Saccharomyces cerevisiae S288C: one gene and its partners. The gene in region 1 interacts genetically with each later gene. Each region holds a gene or a part of one and is shown in the gene's direction. Other genes may lie near its edges. The genes, in order: PPZ1, SMC3, TOR2 and RAP1.

Region 1 (4,535 bases):
AATAAGACCATCTGAGCGATCTGAACCGATAATATATATATCAGGGTTCACTCCGAGGTACTTTCCATTGCCACACCCGACGTCGATACCGATGGAACCCATTGGGCGAGTCTTCAAGAACTGAGTCACTATGGGCCATGGCTTATATCTAGTTTGCGAGAAATGCGGAGCTATCTCATTATACACTTTGTGAACATACTCCTGTTCTTTTTCAGCCGCTTGGTTTATCTCCATGTTGGTTCTTAACCTTTTATTTCTTGGCTCTTCGAGACCTCATCTCTGTTCAGTTCATTACCGAATTTTTTCTCTTATTCCCATTTCTTCGACTGAAAAGTTGAAAGAAATTGAAAAATCAAGAAGAGGTATATAGAGATAATTATCCATATAAATGAAGAGCACAAAGTAAGTTTGAGCTTCAACAGCGCAACGATGACCGAACCTCAAGGTCCTTTGGACACCATCCCGAAAGTGAACTATCCGCCAATACTGACAATAGCAAACTATTTTTCCACAAAACAAATGATTGACCAAGTCATCAGTGAGGACCAGGACTACGTTACGTGGAAATTGCAAAACCTGCGAACGGGTGGTACATCAATCAACAACCAATTAAATAAATATCCAAAATACAAATACCAGAAAACCAGGATAAATCAGCAAGACCCGGACTCTATCAACAAAGTCCCAGAAAACCTGATCTTTCCACAAGACATTTTACAACAGCAAACACAAAATAGCAATTACGAAGACACCAATACCAACGAAGATGAAAATGAAAAACTTGCGCAGGACGAACAATTCAAGCTCTTGGTAACCAACTTGGATAAAGATCAAACTAATCGGTTTGAAGTTTTCCATAGAACATCCCTAAACAAAACCCAGGTCAAAAAACTGGCTAGCACAGTAGCTAATCAAACTATAAGTGAAAATATTCGTGTTTTTCTGCAAGCGGTGGGAAAAATATACGCTGGTGAGATAATCGAATTGGCCATGATTGTGAAGAATAAGTGGTTGACAAGTCAAATGTGCATAGAGTTTGATAAGAGGACCAAAATAGGCTATAAATTGAAAAAATATCTAAAAAAATTGACTTTCTCCATCATAGAAAACCAGCAATACAAGCAAGATTATCAATCCGATAGCGTTCCCGAAGACGAACCTGATTTCTACTTCGACGATGAAGAAGTAGACAAGCGCGAAACTACGCTGGGCAACTCGTTGCTACAGTCCAAATCCTTACAGCAATCAGACCATAATTCACAGGACTTGAAGCTACAACTCATCGAGCAGTACAATAAGCTCGTCCTCCAATTCAACAAACTAGATGTAAGCATCGAGAAATATAACAACAGTCCCTTATTGCCCGAACACATCCGTGAGGCGTGGAGACTCTACCGTCTGCAGTCGGACACTTTGCCTAACGCTTACTGGAGAACTCAAGGAGAAGGGCAGGGATCCATGTTCAGATAGCTGCCCATAATTGTCCAACGGCTCCAACATATATCAATCTATATATAAACATATATATAATTTTTAACATGTCGTTTGAAATGACATGTCTATTTTTAAAAGGATAGCATATAAATTAATGAAAAAAAAAAAAAGAAAACGATTACTGCAGATCTTCTAATTCTGTTAATCAGCTTTCTCTTGTGAACCATTGGCAGGTGGGTAACATAAAAGCACAATACAATAGCTTCCATTATTAGTTTTGTTTGTTTTGGCAATACATGTTAAATCTTTTTCTTTCAAGTTAAATATAAAGATTATATATAAAAGTACTTCTTTGGAATACATTTGATTATACTTTTCTTTATCGTTTTATTTTTATTTCATCGTTATAGTCGCTTCTTTTCCCCTAGAGGCTTTGTCATAAAACAACAAATCAACCACTCTCTGCTTATCTTTCCTTCCTTTTCAAAATGGGTAATTCAAGTTCAAAATCTTCGAAAAAGGATTCACATTCGAATTCCTCCTCGAGAAATCCTCGTCCTCAAGTGTCGAGAACCGAGACTTCCCATTCTGTGAAGTCTGCAAAATCAAATAAATCTTCAAGATCAAGGCGATCTCTTCCTTCTTCGTCCACTACGAATACTAATTCAAACGTCCCTGATCCCTCCACTCCATCAAAGCCCAATCTTGAGGTTAATCACCAACGACATAGCTCTCACACGAATCGTTACCATTTCCCATCTAGCTCACACTCGCATTCAAATTCTCAAAACGAATTGTTAACTACTCCTTCATCATCCTCTACTAAGAGGCCTTCTACTTCTAGAAGATCAAGTTATAATACTAAGGCTGCTGCTGATTTACCACCTTCAATGATCCAAATGGAACCCAAGTCACCCATTTTAAAAACAAACAATAGTAGCACACACGTATCCAAGCATAAATCTTCATACTCATCTACCTATTATGAGAACGCCTTAACCGATGATGACAATGATGATAAAGACAACGACATCTCGCACACTAAAAGGTTTTCTAGATCTTCGAATTCTCGTCCGTCCAGTATAAGAAGCGGATCAGTGTCAAGAAGGAAATCAGATGTGACCCATGAAGAGCCTAACAATGGATCATACTCCTCTAACAATCAGGAGAATTATCTCGTTCAGGCATTAACCCGGTCAAATTCTCATGCATCTTCGCTACACAGTAGGAAATCTTCGTTTGGATCAGATGGTAATACCGCATACAGCACCCCATTAAACTCTCCAGGCTTGTCCAAGCTAACAGATCACTCTGGTGAATACTTTACCTCTAATTCAACCTCCTCATTGAATCACCATTCAAGTCGCGATATTTACCCGAGCAAACACATCAGCAATGATGATGACATTGAAAATTCATCTCAATTGAGTAATATCCATGCATCAATGGAAAATGTTAATGATAAAAATAATAATATAACAGATAGCAAAAAAGATCCGAATGAGGAATTTAATGATATAATGCAATCTTCCGGAAACAAAAACGCTCCAAAAAAATTCAAAAAGCCTATCGATATTGATGAAACTATCCAAAAATTACTGGATGCGGGCTACGCTGCTAAGAGAACAAAAAATGTTTGTTTGAAGAACAATGAAATTTTACAGATTTGCATCAAGGCTCGTGAAATCTTTCTTTCTCAACCTTCCTTATTAGAATTATCACCTCCTGTAAAAATTGTAGGCGACGTTCATGGCCAATATGGGGATCTCTTAAGGCTTTTTACCAAATGTGGGTTCCCACCATCCTCGAACTATTTATTCCTAGGTGATTATGTGGACCGTGGTAAACAGTCACTGGAGACTATTTTACTATTGTTTTGTTACAAAATAAAATACCCTGAAAATTTCTTTTTATTGAGAGGCAACCATGAATGTGCTAACGTCACAAGGGTTTATGGATTTTATGATGAATGTAAACGTCGTTGTAACATCAAGATCTGGAAGACATTCATCGATACTTTTAATACATTACCATTAGCTGCTATCGTAGCCGGAAAGATTTTTTGTGTTCATGGTGGATTGTCGCCAGTTTTAAATTCTATGGATGAAATCAGACATGTAGTTAGGCCTACTGATGTACCAGATTTTGGCTTAATTAATGATCTTTTGTGGTCCGATCCCACAGATTCACCCAACGAATGGGAGGATAACGAACGTGGTGTAAGTTACTGTTATAATAAGGTGGCAATTAACAAATTCTTGAACAAGTTTGGGTTTGATTTGGTTTGTAGAGCTCACATGGTTGTGGAAGACGGTTATGAATTTTTCAATGATAGAAGTCTCGTTACGGTGTTTTCCGCGCCAAATTATTGTGGTGAATTTGATAATTGGGGGGCTGTAATGAGCGTCAGCGAAGGTTTATTGTGCTCTTTTGAATTGTTAGATCCACTAGATAGTGCAGCTTTGAAGCAAGTTATGAAGAAAGGTAGACAGGAAAGAAAACTGGCTAATCAACAACAGCAAATGATGGAAACAAGCATCACAAATGATAACGAATCTCAACAGTAAATTTACTGACTAAAAAATCCAGAAGTATTATATTCATTATTTCATGAACAACTCAACGATGTACATATGCACATATATATATATATATATATATATATATATATGAAAGACAGGAAATAGAAGTTCCCTATCTTTTTCTTAATGACATTAAAAAACTTCCTTTCATCGCCTACTGCCTTCGCGTGTGTATTGAATGCTCATTCGCTCTATACAATCTAGAACTCTCCGAAATTTCGTTCTACTTTGCTTTCGCTATATTAAGCTGTTTATATAAATTACGTAATGGTATATAGTCATATAGCTAAATTCAATGGTTCGTTTCTATAGATTGGTTCTCCTTAATTTTAATTTTTTATTGCGTATAACGTGAGAGATTATTTTCAACCCCCCCAATACTTACGAAACTTCATAAAACTTCTTTAAGAAATAAGGGCCTATAAAAATTGTGAACTAATCAAGAGAAAATATATAATCAAAATTGATTAATCAGAAAGACGAATTTTTTTTAAAAAAAAAATTCAAAACAACTGAAGG
Region 2 (6,023 bases), on another chromosome or scaffold:
TTCTGTAATAATCGGAAGTTCTTCATCACGTATGGATTGGTCGACTCTGAGAGGCCGTTATCTTGGAAAAATTTGTTTATCTGGTCATATAATTGCTTTTTGAACTGTGAATGAGGTTTAGACCTACTTTTATTAAGTATTGAGTTTACCATATACATCAGCAAATGAGGATTGGAATTCCATACATCACTCAATACCGTCTCAGGTAAAGGTTTTTGCTCGGACTTAGCATCCTGATAGTGTTTCCATGTTTCTAGTGTTAGTGAATGCCTCAAACTCTTTTTACAGAACGGCGCAGCCAGTTTAGCTCTCTTGACGTCCGGACTCATGCTAGAAGCCTGACAAAGAATGGAATCAATGTATACTAGATAATCGGTATGATAGTATGATTTTGGTTTGACAAAACCATCGGTTATTGGGGGATCTTCGAATAAATTTTTTGCCAAAGGTCTCGACAGTTGAACGTCTTCTATCAATTGTTTGATAATTTCCTCTAAAAAGAAGTAGTTGTTTTTAAAGTTTGTATCTTTGTTAAGAATTTTCATTGGTGTAATAAATGGCTTCTTATCCTTCAAATAAAATTCAATAATTCTATCCCAACTTCTAAACTTTTTGTTCTCAAATGCATATGTTGCTGGATCCAGGATCTGTCTTTTTGATGGATTCACCTTGTTCAATTTGGAAATAGTCAGGCTTAGTTTTTTACATTTATCATAGTCCATATCAATGGAAAGGCATTTTCTTATATTGAACGACGCATCTGAGTTAAGTACAAAGGTCTGTAAAACAGATATGACATAATGAATCGAAAGTCTTGTATCTATGCTTAAGCTAGCCAAATGCTTGTCGAGGATTGTTTCGTAATCCAAAATGATAGCAGCAGCTAACGAAACGTCAATTTCTTCAGCTAGTTTGTGAAAAAGAACATCGATGTGCGTGGAGAGGACGTTAACATCGTACGGCGTTATGCGTAGCAGCTCAGAAATATCTTCCTCCACAGAAACGTCTTTGGATGATATTTTGTTTCTGATGGTTTCATTCAAGGACAGATATTTCGCATACTGATCATCCTTCTGATGCACCTTGTCCCACATCCCAAAATCGACATACAGCTCTTGTAGCCTCTTTTCCGCCAGCTTCCCAAAAGAACCTTTGTAAGTTTCATTAAAAACGATTTTTTCAAATGTGTTAATAGCTCTTAGATGTTGATCGTTGGATAATTGGATCAGCCCAATTTTGTAGTATATTTGATTGGCTAGTTGAATTACGTCTGACATATTTTCACTTGCTGGATCCGCAGTCATGCAGTTTTGTTCCAACTGCCCAGCGATCCATTGGTATTTTGGCAAGGATTCAGTGTCTACTTTTAAATTCTTGTTCAATCGTTGTAACTCAGCCAAATCACATAACTTAGAAGCCGATATCAGTACTGGCAAAATAACGCTATACACTAAAAGACAGTATCCCGAGATCAGTATCATACTTCGTTTCGTAGACGTTAAGATCGGCCTTAGTAATACACTAAACCAACAATGAATGAAACCTTCTGGGCCCTTCTCGCAACCAACTCCTTTCACTTGGAATAACTTATAAGCAGTTTTGGCTCTATTTTTGCCTGCCATCGAAGTGTACACCTGTCACATTTCACTATTAGGAACCTAAAGAAAAAAAGTCTCAGGAATAGGAAAAGACGCGACGCGTTAGGAAATGATTAAACTAATTAAAGATGAGTTTTCAACCTCATCTTTAAACAGTTTCACCATTTTTTTACAAGACGACCTGCTGGAGTAACGGTAATAGTTCACGTCTGCAATGTATATCAAAAGGGTGATAATTAAGGGTTTTAAAACCTACAGGAACGAAACCATTATTGATAATTTCTCGCCGCATCAGAATGTTATTATTGGCTCCAATGGTTCAGGTAAATCGAATTTCTTCGCTGCGATTAGATTTGTTCTTAGTGACGATTACTCTAATCTTAAGAGGGAAGAAAGGCAAGGGCTTATCCACCAAGGTTCTGGTGGTTCAGTGATGAGTGCCTCGGTAGAAATTGTGTTCCACGATCCAGATCATTCTATGATATTGCCCTCCGGTGTACTTTCGAGAGGAGATGACGAAGTGACCATTAGAAGAACAGTAGGGCTGAAGAAGGATGACTATCAATTAAATGACAGAAACGTGACCAAAGGGGACATAGTCAGAATGTTGGAAACCGCTGGTTTTTCAATGAATAATCCGTATAATATAGTACCACAAGGTAAAATAGTCGCCTTAACTAATGCCAAGGATAAGGAAAGATTGCAGTTATTGGAAGATGTTGTAGGAGCTAAGTCATTTGAAGTAAAATTGAAAGCTTCATTGAAAAAAATGGAGGAAACAGAGCAGAAAAAGATTCAAATTAACAAGGAAATGGGTGAACTAAACTCTAAATTGAGTGAAATGGAACAGGAACGTAAGGAATTAGAGAAATACAACGAGTTGGAACGCAACAGAAAGATCTACCAGTTCACATTGTATGATCGAGAATTAAATGAGGTTATCAATCAAATGGAAAGACTGGACGGTGATTATAATAACACGGTATACTCTTCCGAACAATACATCCAGGAGTTGGATAAAAGAGAGGATATGATTGACCAAGTCTCCAAAAAGCTATCAAGTATTGAAGCTTCACTGAAGATCAAAAATGCGACTGATTTACAACAGGCAAAACTACGGGAATCTGAGATTTCTCAGAAATTAACAAACGTCAACGTAAAAATAAAGGATGTTCAACAGCAAATTGAGTCAAATGAGGAGCAGAGAAATTTGGATAGTGCAACTTTGAAAGAGATCAAATCTATAATTGAGCAAAGGAAACAAAAGTTGTCTAAAATTTTACCTAGATATCAAGAACTCACAAAGGAAGAAGCAATGTACAAACTTCAATTGGCCTCCTTGCAACAAAAGCAGAGAGATCTTATCTTAAAGAAAGGAGAATATGCCCGTTTTAAATCAAAGGATGAACGCGATACGTGGATTCATTCAGAAATTGAAGAACTGAAATCTTCAATACAAAACTTAAATGAACTGGAAAGTCAATTGCAAATGGATCGTACTTCTTTAAGGAAGCAGTACTCTGCGATTGATGAAGAGATTGAAGAGCTAATTGATTCTATCAATGGACCAGATACCAAGGGTCAATTAGAAGATTTTGATTCGGAATTAATACACCTCAAACAGAAGCTGAGTGAAAGTTTAGACACTCGTAAGGAATTGTGGAGAAAGGAGCAAAAATTACAGACAGTCTTGGAAACTTTATTAAGTGACGTCAATCAAAATCAAAGAAATGTTAATGAAACCATGAGTAGATCATTGGCAAATGGTATAATAAATGTGAAAGAAATTACAGAAAAACTAAAAATATCACCGGAATCTGTCTTTGGGACATTAGGTGAACTGATTAAAGTCAATGATAAGTACAAGACATGTGCTGAAGTAATTGGAGGTAACTCCCTCTTCCACATTGTCGTGGATACCGAAGAAACGGCCACTTTGATTATGAACGAACTATATCGTATGAAGGGTGGGAGAGTGACGTTTATTCCCTTGAACAGGTTATCTTTGGACAGTGATGTTAAATTCCCCTCAAACACTACTACACAAATCCAGTTTACTCCCTTGATAAAGAAGATAAAATATGAACCCAGGTTTGAGAAGGCTGTCAAACACGTTTTTGGAAAAACTATTGTTGTCAAAGACTTAGGTCAAGGTTTAAAATTAGCTAAGAAACACAAACTCAATGCCATCACTTTAGATGGTGATAGAGCAGACAAAAGAGGTGTACTTACAGGTGGGTATCTTGACCAGCACAAACGAACACGTTTGGAATCATTGAAAAACTTAAATGAATCAAGAAGTCAACACAAAAAAATACTGGAAGAATTAGATTTCGTAAGAAATGAACTAAATGATATTGATACTAAGATTGATCAAGTAAACGGGAATATAAGAAAGGTTTCTAATGACAGGGAGTCTGTCTTAACAAATATCGAGGTATATAGAACATCGCTAAACACCAAAAAGAATGAAAAATTAATTCTCGAAGAATCATTAAACGCAATTATACTAAAACTAGAAAAGCTGAATACAAATCGTACATTTGCTCAGGAAAAGCTAAATACATTCGAAAATGATTTGCTTCAGGAGTTTGATAGCGAACTCTCAAAAGAAGAAAAGGAAAGATTAGAATCTTTAACAAAGGAGATTAGTGCAGCGCACAATAAGCTAAATATTACATCAGACGCCCTAGAAGGTATAACTACAACCATTGACTCGTTGAATGCCGAATTGGAGTCCAAACTTATCCCACAAGAAAATGATCTAGAATCCAAGATGTCAGAAGTAGGTGACGCATTTATTTTTGGTCTACAAGATGAGTTGAAAGAATTACAATTGGAGAAGGAAAGCGTTGAAAAGCAGCATGAAAACGCTGTGTTGGAACTAGGTACCGTTCAAAGAGAAATTGAAAGTCTCATTGCTGAAGAAACTAATAATAAGAAACTGCTAGAAAAAGCAAACAATCAACAGCGATTACTATTAAAGAAGCTTGACAATTTCCAAAAAAGTGTTGAAAAAACGATGATTAAGAAAACAACTTTGGTTACTAGAAGAGAAGAATTACAGCAAAGGATTAGGGAAATTGGGCTTCTGCCAGAGGATGCTTTAGTAAATGATTTTAGCGACATCACAAGTGATCAGCTATTACAAAGACTGAATGATATGAACACAGAGATTTCTGGTTTGAAGAATGTAAACAAGAGAGCTTTTGAAAACTTCAAAAAGTTTAACGAAAGACGCAAAGACCTTGCGGAGAGAGCTTCAGAGCTGGATGAATCTAAAGACTCAATTCAAGATCTAATTGTTAAGTTAAAACAACAAAAGGTTAACGCGGTTGATTCTACTTTCCAAAAGGTTTCTGAAAACTTTGAAGCTGTTTTTGAAAGATTAGTTCCCAGAGGTACTGCTAAGTTGATTATTCACCGTAAGAATGATAACGCTAACGACCATGATGAAAGTATTGATGTTGACATGGATGCAGAATCCAATGAAAGCCAAAACGGTAAAGATAGTGAAATTATGTATACAGGTGTTTCAATTTCTGTTTCCTTCAATTCTAAACAAAACGAACAACTGCATGTTGAACAGCTCTCAGGTGGTCAGAAGACTGTATGTGCCATTGCTTTGATTCTGGCAATCCAAATGGTTGACCCTGCTTCCTTCTATCTGTTTGATGAAATTGATGCTGCACTCGACAAGCAGTATAGAACTGCAGTCGCTACACTTCTAAAAGAACTGTCAAAAAATGCCCAGTTTATTTGTACGACGTTCAGAACAGATATGTTGCAAGTTGCAGACAAATTTTTCCGTGTTAAGTACGAGAATAAGATTTCCACGGTTATTGAGGTCAATAGAGAAGAAGCAATCGGATTCATTAGAGGTAGCAATAAATTCGCTGAAGTCTAAGAGATATTTGAAACGATTTGTATATAAAAATATCAGTTTTGCTTACATAAATAGCTATTTGTATGTAATTATTACCATTGTCTCCTATATTGGAATTTTAAAAAATTTTCTTTTAAGATGATACTGTTACTAAACAATAATGTTAAATATAGTAACCAAGCTTTGATAATTCGACGTACAAAAAAGATTACTTTTCTTAAAGAAGTTGCCCGCTTGCTGGGAAAAGAGGTAAATAAGAATTGGTTTACATGAAGATTTTTTAATATATTAATACTTTTATATGCTTGATTATTTTTTTTTACTAGCTTTCTGTGACGTGTATTCTACTGAGACTTTCTGGTATCATTTTTTCTTGAAATCTTTTATTAATGATGCAAATCCACCACTTGGCTTCTTCTTCTTACCTAAAGCAGCACTAGCGGATTTCGCACTAATAAAACTTTTTCCATCATCAGATGAATCCCCTGAGTCATCAGAATCTGACTCAGATTTAGAATCTGAACTGGAATCCGATACGG
Region 3 (7,831 bases), on another chromosome or scaffold:
GAATTTAGATTTTGGTTCGACTATGACGGGTTAAAGAAATGCAGTAATATTAATTCATGGTATCCAAACATCCCCAGTATTAATTCATGGAATCCGAACCTCTTGAAAGAAATATCGTCTACGAAATTTGAGTCGAAACTTTTTGATTCCAACAAAGTCTCTGAATACTCTTTCAAAAACCTATCCATGGATGATGTTCGCTTAATTTATAAAAATATTCCAAAAGCTGGCTTTATCGAGGTATTTACTAACTTGTACAATTCCTTCAATGTCACTGCATATAGGCAAAAGGAATTGGAAATTCAATACTGCCAAAACCTGACATTTATTGAAAAAAAGAAATTATTACATCAATTGCGCATTAATGTTGCTCCTAAGTTAAGCTCCCCTGCAAAGGACCCATTTCTTTTTGGTTATGAAAAAGCTATGTGGAAGGATTTATCAAAATCTATGAACCAGACTACATTAGATCAAGTTACCAAGATTGTTCATGAAGAATATGTCGGAAAAATTATTGATCTGTCCGAAAGTTTGAAATACAGGAATTTTTCACTTTTCAACATTACTTTTGATGAAACTGGAACAACTCTAGATGATAACACAGAAGATTATACTCCTGCTAATACTGTTGAAGTAAATCCTGTGGATTTTAAATCAAATTTAAACTTTAGTAGCAACTCCTTTTTGGATTTAAATTCATATGGTTTAGACCTTTTTGCGCCAACTTTATCCGACGTTAACAGAAAGGGTATTCAAATGTTTGATAAGGACCCTATTATTGTATACGAGGACTATGCTTATGCCAAGTTACTTGAAGAAAGAAAGCGGAGGGAGAAGAAGAAGAAGGAGGAAGAGGAGAAGAAGAAGAAGGAAGAAGAGGAAAAGAAGAAGAAGGAAGAAGAAGAAAAGAAAAAGAAGGAAGAGGAAGAGAAGAAAAAGAAGGAAGAAGAAGAGAAGAAAAAGAAGGAAGAAGAAGAAAAGAAGAAGCAGGAGGAAGAGGAGAAAAAGAAGAAGGAAGAAGAAGAGAAGAAGAAGCAGGAAGAAGGAGAAAAGATGAAGAATGAAGATGAAGAAAATAAGAAGAATGAAGATGAAGAAAAGAAGAAGAACGAAGAAGAGGAAAAAAAGAAGCAGGAAGAGAAAAACAAGAAGAATGAAGATGAAGAAAAGAAGAAGCAGGAAGAGGAAGAAAAGAAGAAGAACGAAGAAGAGGAAAAAAAGAAGCAGGAGGAGGGGCACAGCAATTAAAAGTCGGAGAACCTGACTGAAAATTCATGAATCTCTTCATTTCTATAGCCTTTCCTCTATGCATTTGTATTATATATTTATTACCGTCATTTTTTACATACTGCTGCATTTTGGCGCCAGTGATAAGTGGCAAACAATTCGACGGAATCGTGGTAATTATACCACGTTACTCTATAACATCATGATATTGCAATTAATCAAACATACATTTAATCTTAATGCTATTAGCTTACTACAACTCTTTTCTTTAAGTTATATCGTATATTTCTTGGGCGATGTCAGAATATTTACCCGGATATTCCTTTTTAAGCACTGAATATGTTTGAATAGAGACTGACATATATGGCAGCAATTAAAATTGGAAGAAATGTAATGACAGTAGGAAAGACCAATTTTTATCATCGTGACACCAATCACTTCCTTAACTGAGCTTTACTTGTATTTATTTACAGGTAGATTAGGAGCAGTAGAAAGGGAAAATATACCGGGTGCATAAAGAGCATAGTCATTAAGATCAAATAGTTATCTTTCTCAAAGAGATTTCTGATCTTTACTTTCCCCATATGAAAAATGAATAAATACATTAACAAATACACCACGCCACCTAACTTATTGTCTTTACGACAAAGGGCCGAAGGCAAACACAGAACAAGAAAGAAACTTACACACAAATCGCACTCCCACGATGATGAGATGTCAACTACTTCAAACACAGATTCCAATCACAATGGGCCCAATGACTCTGGTAGAGTGATCACTGGTTCTGCTGGTCATATTGGTAAAATATCCTTTGTAGATTCAGAACTAGATACAACATTTTCTACTTTAAATTTGATTTTTGATAAACTTAAAAGCGATGTGCCACAAGAACGAGCCTCTGGCGCTAATGAATTAAGCACTACTTTGACCTCATTAGCAAGGGAAGTATCTGCTGAGCAATTTCAAAGGTTTAGCAACAGTTTAAACAATAAGATATTTGAACTTATTCACGGGTTTACTTCAAGTGAGAAGATAGGTGGTATTCTTGCTGTTGATACTCTGATCTCATTCTACCTGAGTACAGAGGAGCTGCCAAACCAAACTTCAAGACTGGCGAACTATTTACGTGTTTTAATTCCATCCAGTGACATTGAAGTTATGAGATTAGCGGCTAACACCTTAGGTAGATTGACCGTGCCAGGTGGTACATTAACATCAGATTTCGTCGAATTTGAGGTCAGAACTTGCATTGATTGGCTTACTCTGACAGCAGATAATAACTCATCGAGCTCTAAGTTGGAATACAGGAGACATGCTGCGCTATTAATCATAAAGGCATTAGCAGACAATTCACCCTATCTTTTATACCCTTACGTTAACTCTATCTTAGACAATATTTGGGTGCCATTAAGGGATGCAAAGTTAATTATACGATTAGATGCCGCAGTGGCATTGGGTAAATGTCTTACTATTATTCAGGATAGAGACCCTGCTTTGGGAAAACAGTGGTTTCAAAGATTATTTCAAGGTTGTACACATGGCTTAAGTCTCAATACGAATGATTCAGTGCATGCTACTCTGTTGGTATTTCGAGAATTACTCAGCTTGAAAGCACCTTATCTCAGGGATAAATATGATGATATTTACAAATCTACTATGAAGTACAAGGAATATAAATTTGATGTTATAAGGAGAGAAGTTTATGCTATTTTACCTCTTTTAGCTGCTTTTGACCCTGCCATTTTCACAAAGAAATATCTCGATAGGATAATGGTTCATTATTTAAGATATTTGAAGAACATCGATATGAATGCTGCAAATAATTCGGATAAACCTTTTATATTAGTTTCTATAGGTGATATTGCATTTGAAGTTGGTTCGAGCATTTCACCCTATATGACACTTATTCTGGATAATATTAGGGAAGGCTTAAGAACGAAATTCAAAGTTAGAAAACAATTCGAGAAGGATTTATTTTATTGCATTGGTAAATTAGCTTGTGCTTTGGGCCCAGCTTTTGCTAAGCACTTGAACAAAGATCTTCTTAATTTGATGTTAAACTGTCCAATGTCCGACCATATGCAGGAGACTTTAATGATCCTTAACGAGAAAATACCCTCTTTGGAATCTACCGTTAATTCGAGGATACTAAATTTACTGTCGATATCCTTATCTGGTGAAAAATTTATTCAATCAAACCAATACGATTTTAATAATCAATTTTCCATTGAAAAGGCTCGTAAATCAAGAAACCAAAGTTTCATGAAAAAAACTGGTGAATCTAATGACGATATTACAGATGCCCAAATTTTGATTCAGTGTTTTAAAATGCTGCAACTAATTCATCATCAATATTCCTTGACGGAGTTTGTTAGGCTTATAACCATTTCTTACATTGAGCATGAGGATTCGTCTGTCAGAAAATTGGCAGCATTAACGTCGTGTGATTTATTTATCAAAGACGATATATGTAAACAAACATCAGTTCATGCTTTACACTCGGTTTCTGAAGTGCTAAGTAAGCTATTAATGATCGCAATAACTGATCCGGTTGCAGAAATTAGATTGGAAATTCTTCAGCATTTGGGGTCAAATTTTGATCCTCAATTGGCCCAACCAGACAATTTACGCCTACTTTTCATGGCGCTGAACGATGAGATTTTTGGTATTCAATTGGAAGCTATCAAAATAATAGGCAGATTGAGTTCTGTCAACCCCGCTTATGTAGTTCCTTCTTTGAGGAAAACTTTACTGGAACTATTAACGCAATTGAAGTTCTCAAATATGCCAAAAAAAAAGGAGGAAAGTGCAACTCTATTATGTACGCTGATAAATTCCAGCGATGAAGTAGCGAAACCTTATATTGATCCTATTCTAGACGTCATTCTTCCTAAATGCCAGGATGCTTCATCTGCCGTAGCATCCACCGCTTTAAAGGTTTTGGGTGAACTATCTGTTGTTGGAGGAAAAGAAATGACGCGTTACTTAAAGGAATTGATGCCATTGATCATTAACACATTTCAGGACCAATCAAACTCTTTTAAAAGAGATGCCGCCTTAACAACATTAGGACAGCTGGCTGCTTCCTCTGGTTATGTTGTTGGCCCTTTACTAGACTACCCAGAGTTACTTGGCATTTTGATAAATATTCTTAAGACTGAAAACAACCCTCATATCAGGCGTGGAACTGTTCGTTTGATTGGTATATTAGGCGCTCTTGATCCATATAAGCACAGAGAAATAGAAGTCACATCAAACTCAAAGAGTTCAGTAGAGCAAAATGCTCCTTCAATCGACATCGCATTGCTAATGCAAGGGGTATCTCCATCCAACGATGAATATTACCCCACTGTAGTTATCCACAATCTGATGAAGATATTGAATGATCCATCGTTGTCAATCCATCACACGGCTGCTATTCAAGCTATTATGCATATTTTTCAAAACCTTGGTTTACGATGTGTCTCCTTTTTGGATCAAATTATTCCAGGTATCATTTTAGTCATGCGTTCATGCCCGCCGTCCCAACTTGACTTTTATTTTCAGCAACTGGGATCTCTCATCTCAATTGTCAAGCAACATATTAGGCCCCATGTCGAGAAAATTTATGGTGTGATCAGGGAGTTTTTCCCGATCATTAAACTACAAATCACAATTATTTCTGTCATAGAATCGATATCTAAGGCTCTGGAAGGTGAGTTTAAAAGATTTGTTCCCGAGACTCTAACCTTTTTCCTTGATATTCTTGAGAACGACCAGTCTAATAAAAGGATCGTTCCGATTCGTATATTAAAATCTTTGGTTACTTTTGGGCCGAATCTAGAAGACTATTCCCATTTGATTATGCCTATCGTTGTTAGAATGACTGAGTATTCTGCTGGAAGTCTAAAGAAAATCTCCATTATAACTTTGGGTAGATTAGCAAAGAATATCAACCTCTCTGAAATGTCATCAAGAATTGTTCAGGCGTTGGTAAGAATTTTGAATAATGGGGATAGAGAACTAACAAAAGCAACCATGAATACGCTAAGTTTGCTCCTTTTACAACTAGGTACCGACTTTGTGGTCTTTGTGCCAGTGATTAACAAGGCGTTATTGAGGAATAGGATTCAGCATTCAGTGTACGATCAACTGGTTAATAAATTACTGAACAATGAATGCTTGCCAACAAATATCATATTTGACAAGGAGAACGAAGTACCTGAAAGGAAAAATTATGAAGACGAAATGCAAGTAACGAAATTACCGGTAAACCAAAATATCCTAAAGAATGCATGGTATTGTTCTCAACAGAAGACCAAAGAAGATTGGCAAGAATGGATAAGAAGGCTATCTATTCAGCTTCTAAAGGAATCACCTTCAGCTTGTCTACGATCCTGTTCGAGTTTAGTCAGCGTTTATTATCCGTTGGCGAGAGAATTGTTTAATGCTTCATTCTCAAGTTGCTGGGTTGAGCTTCAAACGTCATACCAAGAGGATTTGATTCAAGCATTATGCAAGGCTTTATCATCCTCTGAAAACCCACCCGAGATTTATCAAATGTTGTTAAATTTAGTGGAATTTATGGAGCACGATGACAAACCATTGCCTATCCCAATCCATACATTAGGTAAGTATGCCCAAAAATGTCATGCTTTTGCGAAGGCACTACATTACAAAGAGGTAGAATTCTTAGAAGAGCCGAAAAATTCAACAATCGAGGCATTGATTAGCATTAATAATCAACTTCACCAAACTGATTCTGCTATTGGTATTTTGAAGCATGCGCAACAACACAATGAATTGCAGCTGAAGGAAACTTGGTATGAAAAACTTCAACGTTGGGAGGATGCTCTTGCAGCATATAATGAGAAGGAGGCAGCAGGAGAAGATTCGGTTGAAGTGATGATGGGAAAATTAAGATCGTTATATGCCCTTGGAGAGTGGGAAGAGCTTTCTAAATTGGCATCTGAAAAGTGGGGCACGGCAAAACCCGAAGTGAAGAAGGCAATGGCGCCTTTGGCTGCCGGCGCTGCCTGGGGTTTGGAGCAATGGGATGAAATAGCCCAGTATACTAGCGTCATGAAATCGCAGTCTCCAGATAAAGAATTCTATGATGCAATTTTATGTTTGCATAGGAATAATTTTAAGAAGGCGGAAGTTCACATCTTTAATGCAAGGGATCTTCTAGTTACTGAATTGTCAGCTCTTGTTAATGAAAGCTACAATAGAGCATATAATGTTGTTGTTAGAGCGCAGATTATAGCAGAGTTGGAGGAAATCATCAAATATAAGAAGTTGCCACAAAATTCAGATAAACGTCTAACTATGAGAGAAACTTGGAATACCAGATTACTGGGCTGTCAAAAAAATATTGATGTGTGGCAAAGAATTCTGCGTGTCAGATCATTGGTGATAAAGCCAAAGGAGGATGCTCAAGTGAGGATTAAGTTTGCCAACTTATGCAGAAAATCGGGTAGGATGGCGCTAGCTAAAAAAGTCTTAAATACATTGCTTGAAGAAACAGATGACCCAGATCATCCTAATACTGCTAAGGCATCCCCTCCAGTTGTTTATGCACAACTGAAGTACTTGTGGGCTACGGGGTTGCAAGATGAGGCTTTGAAGCAATTAATTAATTTCACATCTAGAATGGCTCATGATTTAGGTTTGGATCCAAATAATATGATAGCTCAAAGCGTTCCTCAACAAAGCAAAAGAGTCCCTCGTCACGTTGAAGATTATACTAAGCTTTTAGCTCGTTGTTTCTTGAAGCAAGGAGAATGGAGAGTTTGCTTACAGCCTAAATGGAGATTGAGCAATCCAGATTCGATCCTAGGCTCCTATTTGCTCGCTACACATTTTGACAACACATGGTACAAAGCGTGGCATAACTGGGCACTGGCCAATTTTGAAGTCATTTCTATGCTAACATCTGTCTCTAAAAAGAAACAGGAAGGAAGTGATGCTTCCTCGGTAACTGATATTAATGAGTTTGATAATGGCATGATCGGCGTCAATACATTTGATGCTAAGGAAGTTCATTACTCTTCTAATTTAATACACAGGCACGTAATTCCAGCAATTAAGGGTTTTTTTCATTCCATTTCTTTATCAGAATCAAGCTCTCTTCAAGATGCATTAAGGTTATTAACTTTATGGTTTACTTTTGGTGGTATTCCAGAAGCAACCCAAGCTATGCACGAGGGTTTCAACCTAATCCAAATAGGCACATGGTTAGAAGTGTTGCCACAGTTAATTTCTAGAATTCATCAACCCAATCAAATTGTTAGTAGGTCATTACTCTCCCTATTATCTGATCTAGGTAAGGCTCATCCGCAGGCATTAGTGTACCCCTTAATGGTTGCGATTAAATCCGAATCTCTCTCACGACAGAAAGCAGCTTTGTCCATCATAGAAAAGATGAGAATACATAGTCCAGTTTTGGTCGACCAGGCTGAACTTGTCAGCCACGAATTGATACGTATGGCGGTGCTTTGGCATGAGCAATGGTATGAGGGTCTGGATGACGCCAGTAGGCAGTTTTTTGGAGAACATAATACCGAAAAAATGTTTGCTGCTTTAGAGCCTCTGTACGAAATGCTGAAGAGAGGACCGGAAACTT
Region 4 (4,979 bases), on another chromosome or scaffold:
CAAAGTCAGTAGAACTATATAGAGCTTGGAAGAAATTAAGGGCAATGATGAGCGAGAACATGTACAGTTTAGCAAGCAGTGAGATACCGATGCATATCAGAAATGCGCCAACCAAATTGATGGAGGAGCTGGGTTATCATAAAGGCTACAAGTACAATCCCGATTATATTGAAGGAAAAGTCCAACAAGACTACTTTCCCAAAGAAGTGCTCGAGAAATGTCCAAATAAAACTGACTTAAAGTTCCTGGACGGCAAACATTTAGGAGACAAAGAAGATCCTGACTTGAGACAGTCATATCAGGGTTAGTCAAGGGTCTTCCATACTTCTCTCAATGCCGCGTCTACAATTCATATTTTTTTCTCTGTTGGCCAATGCCGCTTGTTTTTTTACGCTTGAGGCGCATTGCATTGCTGGCACGTTTTTGTGCAGCATGAACGATATAAACTATAATTTTAGATAATCAAGGATCCACCTTTTTTTTTCATGCTAGAAAAGTCTCGCGGGCCCATCTGAGATATATTAGAACATATACGCATCCTATAAGAAGAGCACATTATTCTTGAATTAGTTCTTCCTTTTCCTCGACCTTCCAGCTTGTAAAATGAGCCAGGCTTGAGGAGCATAGATACGCAAAAATGGAAGATAAGCGGAAAAGACGAGCCGCTACACTTAGTACAGCATTGATATTATTTGTGGCATGCTGCGTTTATACACTATATATATTCAAGTTTGATAACCCTCGGTTGTCTCCACCAGTTTCCTTATTGCCTACAATTAGCACCTTGAAGAAAATTGAGCATGTAACAGATTTAAATAAGGAGTACGTTTTTGTTGGTGACGTTCATGGTAACTATGATGAGTTCATAGAACTCATTGATGACAAGATTGGAGGACTAGGAGAAAATATAACAATGATATTGCTGGGTGACTTTATTCACAAGGGCCCGGACTCAGACAAGGTCGTGTCGTATATTCTAAATCACAAGGATCAAGTCAAGTGCGTTTTGGGCAATCATGAAATATTGGTCATGATGGCCTATTTAAACCCAGACTTCTCGAAATGGGTAAGACGCCCCAAATTAATGACACCTTTAACTTTCAGTACGGAGACTAATTTCATACCACAAGACATCTCTAAAATCAGCAACGCACATGGACGGTTAGCTCGCGAACTTGGGTTTTCCAAATTAAGTCAGCTAGCGGAACATTGTTCTATGGCCATAGAACTAGATCTGGATATTACCGGTGATATACTCTTTGGTGCACATGCAGGGATGGTTCCGGGAGACTTCATGAAGCCCAACCAAATTCCGGGCGTGAGCTCTCTGTCAAACATGAAGTACGTTGATAAGAAGAACTGGTCAAAAACATCACGTGAAAAGGAAAACAAGAATTATGTGAGATGGTACACACTGTGGGACAAATACGGAGACCACTTTAGTAACGCCAAAGTATTTTACGGGCACGATGCATCCATGGGACTAAACCTACGGAGACAGACCAAAGGTTTGGACACAGCATGTATAAAGAACAATCTGCTTTCATCTATGAAAGTGAAGTACGATATTAAGAAGGGGCAATATGACTATGAATTAATTCAAGTACAATGCTCTTAAAACAAAAAGTACTACTTAAAAGCGCAACAGATTTTATATAATGTACTATATGAAAAAGATATGAATATTATTATGTAACTCATAATACTGAATCTTAAATTTCAATGAAACTTTCGCTGGAGCTACAAGTATTCTTGCCCAATGGCCGCTACCCGCCTCTTCTTCGTTGTTGAAGTTTTAAAATTTAGCGAGAAAAGAAAACAAAACCGAAAACAGACAACCGCAATCATTTCTTCAACACCCAACATCCAGCACCTAAACACCATCAATACACGTTTTAAACAAAACAAACCCATAGCCCAAAAGGTAGTAAACACAAACCGTTGTATACGCAACCGCCCTACATAAGACACTATTTGCGTACAGATTATCTCAATATGTCTAGTCCAGATGATTTTGAAACTGCACCAGCAGAATATGTTGATGCATTGGATCCGAGTATGGTCGTTGTTGACAGTGGTTCTGCTGCAGTCACAGCGCCATCGGATTCAGCCGCTGAGGTAAAAGCTAATCAAAACGAAGAAAACACTGGTGCTACTGCTGCTGAAACTAGTGAGAAAGTGGATCAGACGGAGGTCGAAAAGAAAGATGATGATGATACCACTGAAGTCGGTGTAACAACTACCACGCCTTCCATTGCTGATACTGCTGCTACCGCTAACATTGCTTCGACATCAGGTGCATCTGTTACTGAACCTACTACTGATGACACCGCTGCTGATGAGAAAAAGGAACAAGTAAGTGGTCCTCCTCTGTCAAATATGAAATTCTATCTTAATCGCGACGCGGATGCGCATGACTCTTTAAATGATATTGATCAATTAGCGCGTCTGATTAGAGCAAACGGTGGTGAAGTGCTAGACTCCAAGCCAAGAGAATCAAAAGAGAATGTTTTCATCGTGTCACCCTATAATCATACCAATTTACCAACGGTAACTCCGACTTATATTAAGGCATGTTGTCAAAGCAACTCGCTACTGAACATGGAAAATTATTTAGTACCATACGATAACTTTAGAGAAGTTGTCGATAGTAGGTTGCAGGAGGAATCGCATTCTAATGGTGTAGATAATAGCAATAGCAATAGCGATAACAAGGATTCTATCAGGCCCAAAACAGAAATAATCTCTACGAATACTAATGGCGCTACGGAAGACTCAACCAGCGAAAAAGTTATGGTAGACGCTGAACAACAAGCTAGATTACAAGAGCAAGCTCAGCTCCTTCGTCAACATGTAAGCAGCACCGCATCAATCACAAGCGGAGGGCACAATGACTTGGTCCAGATCGAACAACCTCAAAAAGATACCTCCAATAATAATAATAGCAACGTCAACGACGAAGACAATGATCTTTTGACACAGGACAACAACCCTCAAACAGCAGATGAGGGGAATGCATCTTTTCAAGCACAAAGGTCCATGATTTCGAGAGGCGCTTTGCCCTCCCACAATAAAGCTTCTTTTACAGATGAGGAAGATGAGTTTATTTTGGATGTTGTGAGAAAAAATCCAACCAGGCGTACAACACATACTCTTTACGATGAAATATCCCATTATGTGCCTAACCACACGGGTAATTCTATTAGGCACCGATTTAGAGTCTATCTTTCCAAAAGACTAGAGTACGTTTATGAGGTTGACAAGTTTGGTAAATTGGTTAGAGACGACGATGGAAATCTGATAAAGACTAAAGTTTTGCCACCATCAATTAAAAGGAAATTTTCAGCAGATGAAGATTACACTTTGGCAATCGCGGTCAAGAAGCAGTTTTATCGTGATTTGTTTCAAATCGACCCTGATACTGGAAGATCACTTATCACAGATGAGGATACACCCACTGCTATAGCGAGGAGGAATATGACAATGGATCCAAATCATGTGCCAGGGAGTGAACCCAACTTTGCAGCTTACAGAACCCAAAGCCGTAGGGGACCGATTGCACGAGAATTTTTCAAGCATTTTGCCGAAGAGCATGCAGCACATACTGAGAATGCTTGGAGAGATAGGTTTAGGAAGTTTCTTCTCGCTTACGGCATTGATGATTATATTAGTTATTATGAAGCTGAAAAAGCTCAGAATAGAGAGCCGGAACCGATGAAGAACCTCACCAATAGACCCAAGAGGCCTGGCGTTCCCACTCCTGGCAATTATAACTCTGCCGCCAAGAGGGCAAGAAATTATAGTTCTCAAAGAAATGTTCAGCCTACTGCCAATGCAGCGTCCGCTAATGCTGCTGCCGCTGCTGCTGCCGCTGCTTCCAACTCTTACGCTATACCAGAAAACGAATTACTGGACGAAGATACCATGAATTTCATTTCCAGTTTAAAGAATGATCTATCCAATATTTCAAATAGTTTGCCCTTTGAGTATCCACACGAGATTGCGGAAGCTATAAGAAGCGATTTTTCGAATGAAGATATATATGATAATATTGATCCTGATACCATAAGCTTTCCACCAAAAATTGCAACAACAGATCTTTTCCTGCCATTGTTCTTTCATTTTGGCAGTACGAGACAATTTATGGATAAACTTCATGAAGTTATTTCAGGAGATTATGAGCCATCACAGGCTGAAAAACTGGTACAGGATCTTTGCGATGAAACTGGTATACGTAAAAATTTCAGTACGAGCATATTGACGTGTTTATCCGGGGATCTGATGGTCTTTCCTCGCTATTTCTTGAACATGTTTAAGGACAATGTTAATCCTCCTCCCAACGTTCCTGGTATTTGGACACATGATGACGACGAATCGCTAAAAAGCAATGATCAAGAACAAATAAGGAAACTGGTTAAAAAGCATGGAACTGGTAGAATGGAAATGAGGAAAAGATTTTTTGAGAAGGACCTGTTATGAGTAATTGAATTAAGTAACATCATTGTTTAACTTATTTTACTCCTTTATTTCACTGATTCACGTTTTCTACTTTGTTTTTCAGTTCAATGTATAATTTATGTAAACTTTTACGTATTTTAATTTTCAAAATTCTTACAATGATTAAGGCGGAACAGTTTTATAGAATCCCATTAGCAAAAAAGAGAGAAGAAAAGGAGGAAAGTATAACGCAGAACGAAGATTCTCATTTTTAACGTGTCTTTTCTTCAAGGATAAAACGCCTAACTAGCAAATAACTGGCGATTAGCAGACTACAATGGACAGTGAAGCAAGTGACATTGAGGCAGAGTTATCCGACAGCGTCTCAGCTGGTGGGGAAGAATACATTGACGATGATGATTATACGGAAGATATTGACGATCAGATAGTCACAGCCAAATCATCTAGAAGAACAGCACGTAGGAGTGTACCTAAGGGTGTAAGAACCTCAAAACGCATTAGAGATAAAGAACTTTCTGTGG

The links.
Region 2: mutations in PPZ1 (region 1) and SMC3 together harm fitness more than expected from each alone (negative genetic interaction), as found in Saccharomyces cerevisiae (2 studies listed by BioGRID).
Region 3: mutations in PPZ1 (region 1) and TOR2 together harm fitness more than expected from each alone (negative genetic interaction), as found in Saccharomyces cerevisiae (2 studies listed by BioGRID).
Region 4: mutations in PPZ1 (region 1) and RAP1 together harm fitness less than expected from each alone (positive genetic interaction), as found in Saccharomyces cerevisiae (2 studies listed by BioGRID).

What each region holds. Positions count from the first base shown.
Region 1 is NC_001145.3:238,924-243,458, reverse strand, and holds PPZ1 (salt homeostasis regulator), read left to right. Parts: upstream 1-1,922; coding exon 1,923-4,001; downstream 4,002-4,535. Other genes in the region: TRM9 (tRNA (carboxymethyluridine(34)-5-O)-methyltransferase), read right to left, coding at 1-234; TATA-binding protein-associated factor TAF11, read left to right, coding at 430-1,470. UniProt on the Saccharomyces cerevisiae protein: Essential for the maintenance of cell size and integrity in response to osmotic stress.
Region 2 is NC_001142.9:298,639-304,661, reverse strand, and holds SMC3 (cohesin subunit SMC3), read left to right. Parts: upstream 1-1,812; coding exon 1,813-5,505; downstream 5,506-6,023. Other genes in the region: JEM1 (Jem1p), read right to left, coding at 1-1,481; APQ13 (Apq13p), read left to right, coding at 5,786-6,023; NET1 (Net1p), read right to left, coding at 5,848-6,023. UniProt on the Saccharomyces cerevisiae protein: Involved in chromosome cohesion during cell cycle and in DNA repair. Central component of cohesin complex. The cohesin complex is required for the cohesion of sister chromatids after DNA replication.
Region 3 is NC_001143.9:57,347-65,177, reverse strand, and holds the start of TOR2 (phosphatidylinositol kinase-related protein kinase TOR2), read left to right. Parts: upstream 1-1,818; coding exon 1,819-7,831. Other genes in the region: MNN4 (Mnn4p), read left to right, coding at 1-1,248. UniProt on the Saccharomyces cerevisiae protein: Phosphatidylinositol 3-kinase homolog, component of both TORC1 and TORC2. TORC1 regulates multiple cellular processes to control cell growth in response to environmental signals. Nutrient limitation and environmental stress signals cause inactivation of TORC1.
Region 4 is NC_001146.8:239,694-244,672, forward strand, and holds RAP1 (DNA-binding transcription factor RAP1), read left to right. Parts: upstream 1-1,995; coding exon 1,996-4,479; downstream 4,480-4,979. Other genes in the region: ssDNA-dependent ATPase MGS1, read left to right, coding at 1-308; PPN2 (putative serine/threonine-protein phosphatase), read left to right, coding at 638-1,618; IES2 (Ies2p), read left to right, coding at 4,775-4,979. UniProt on the Saccharomyces cerevisiae protein: Essential regulatory protein in yeast whose DNA-binding sites are found at three types of chromosomal elements: promoters, silencers, and telomeres.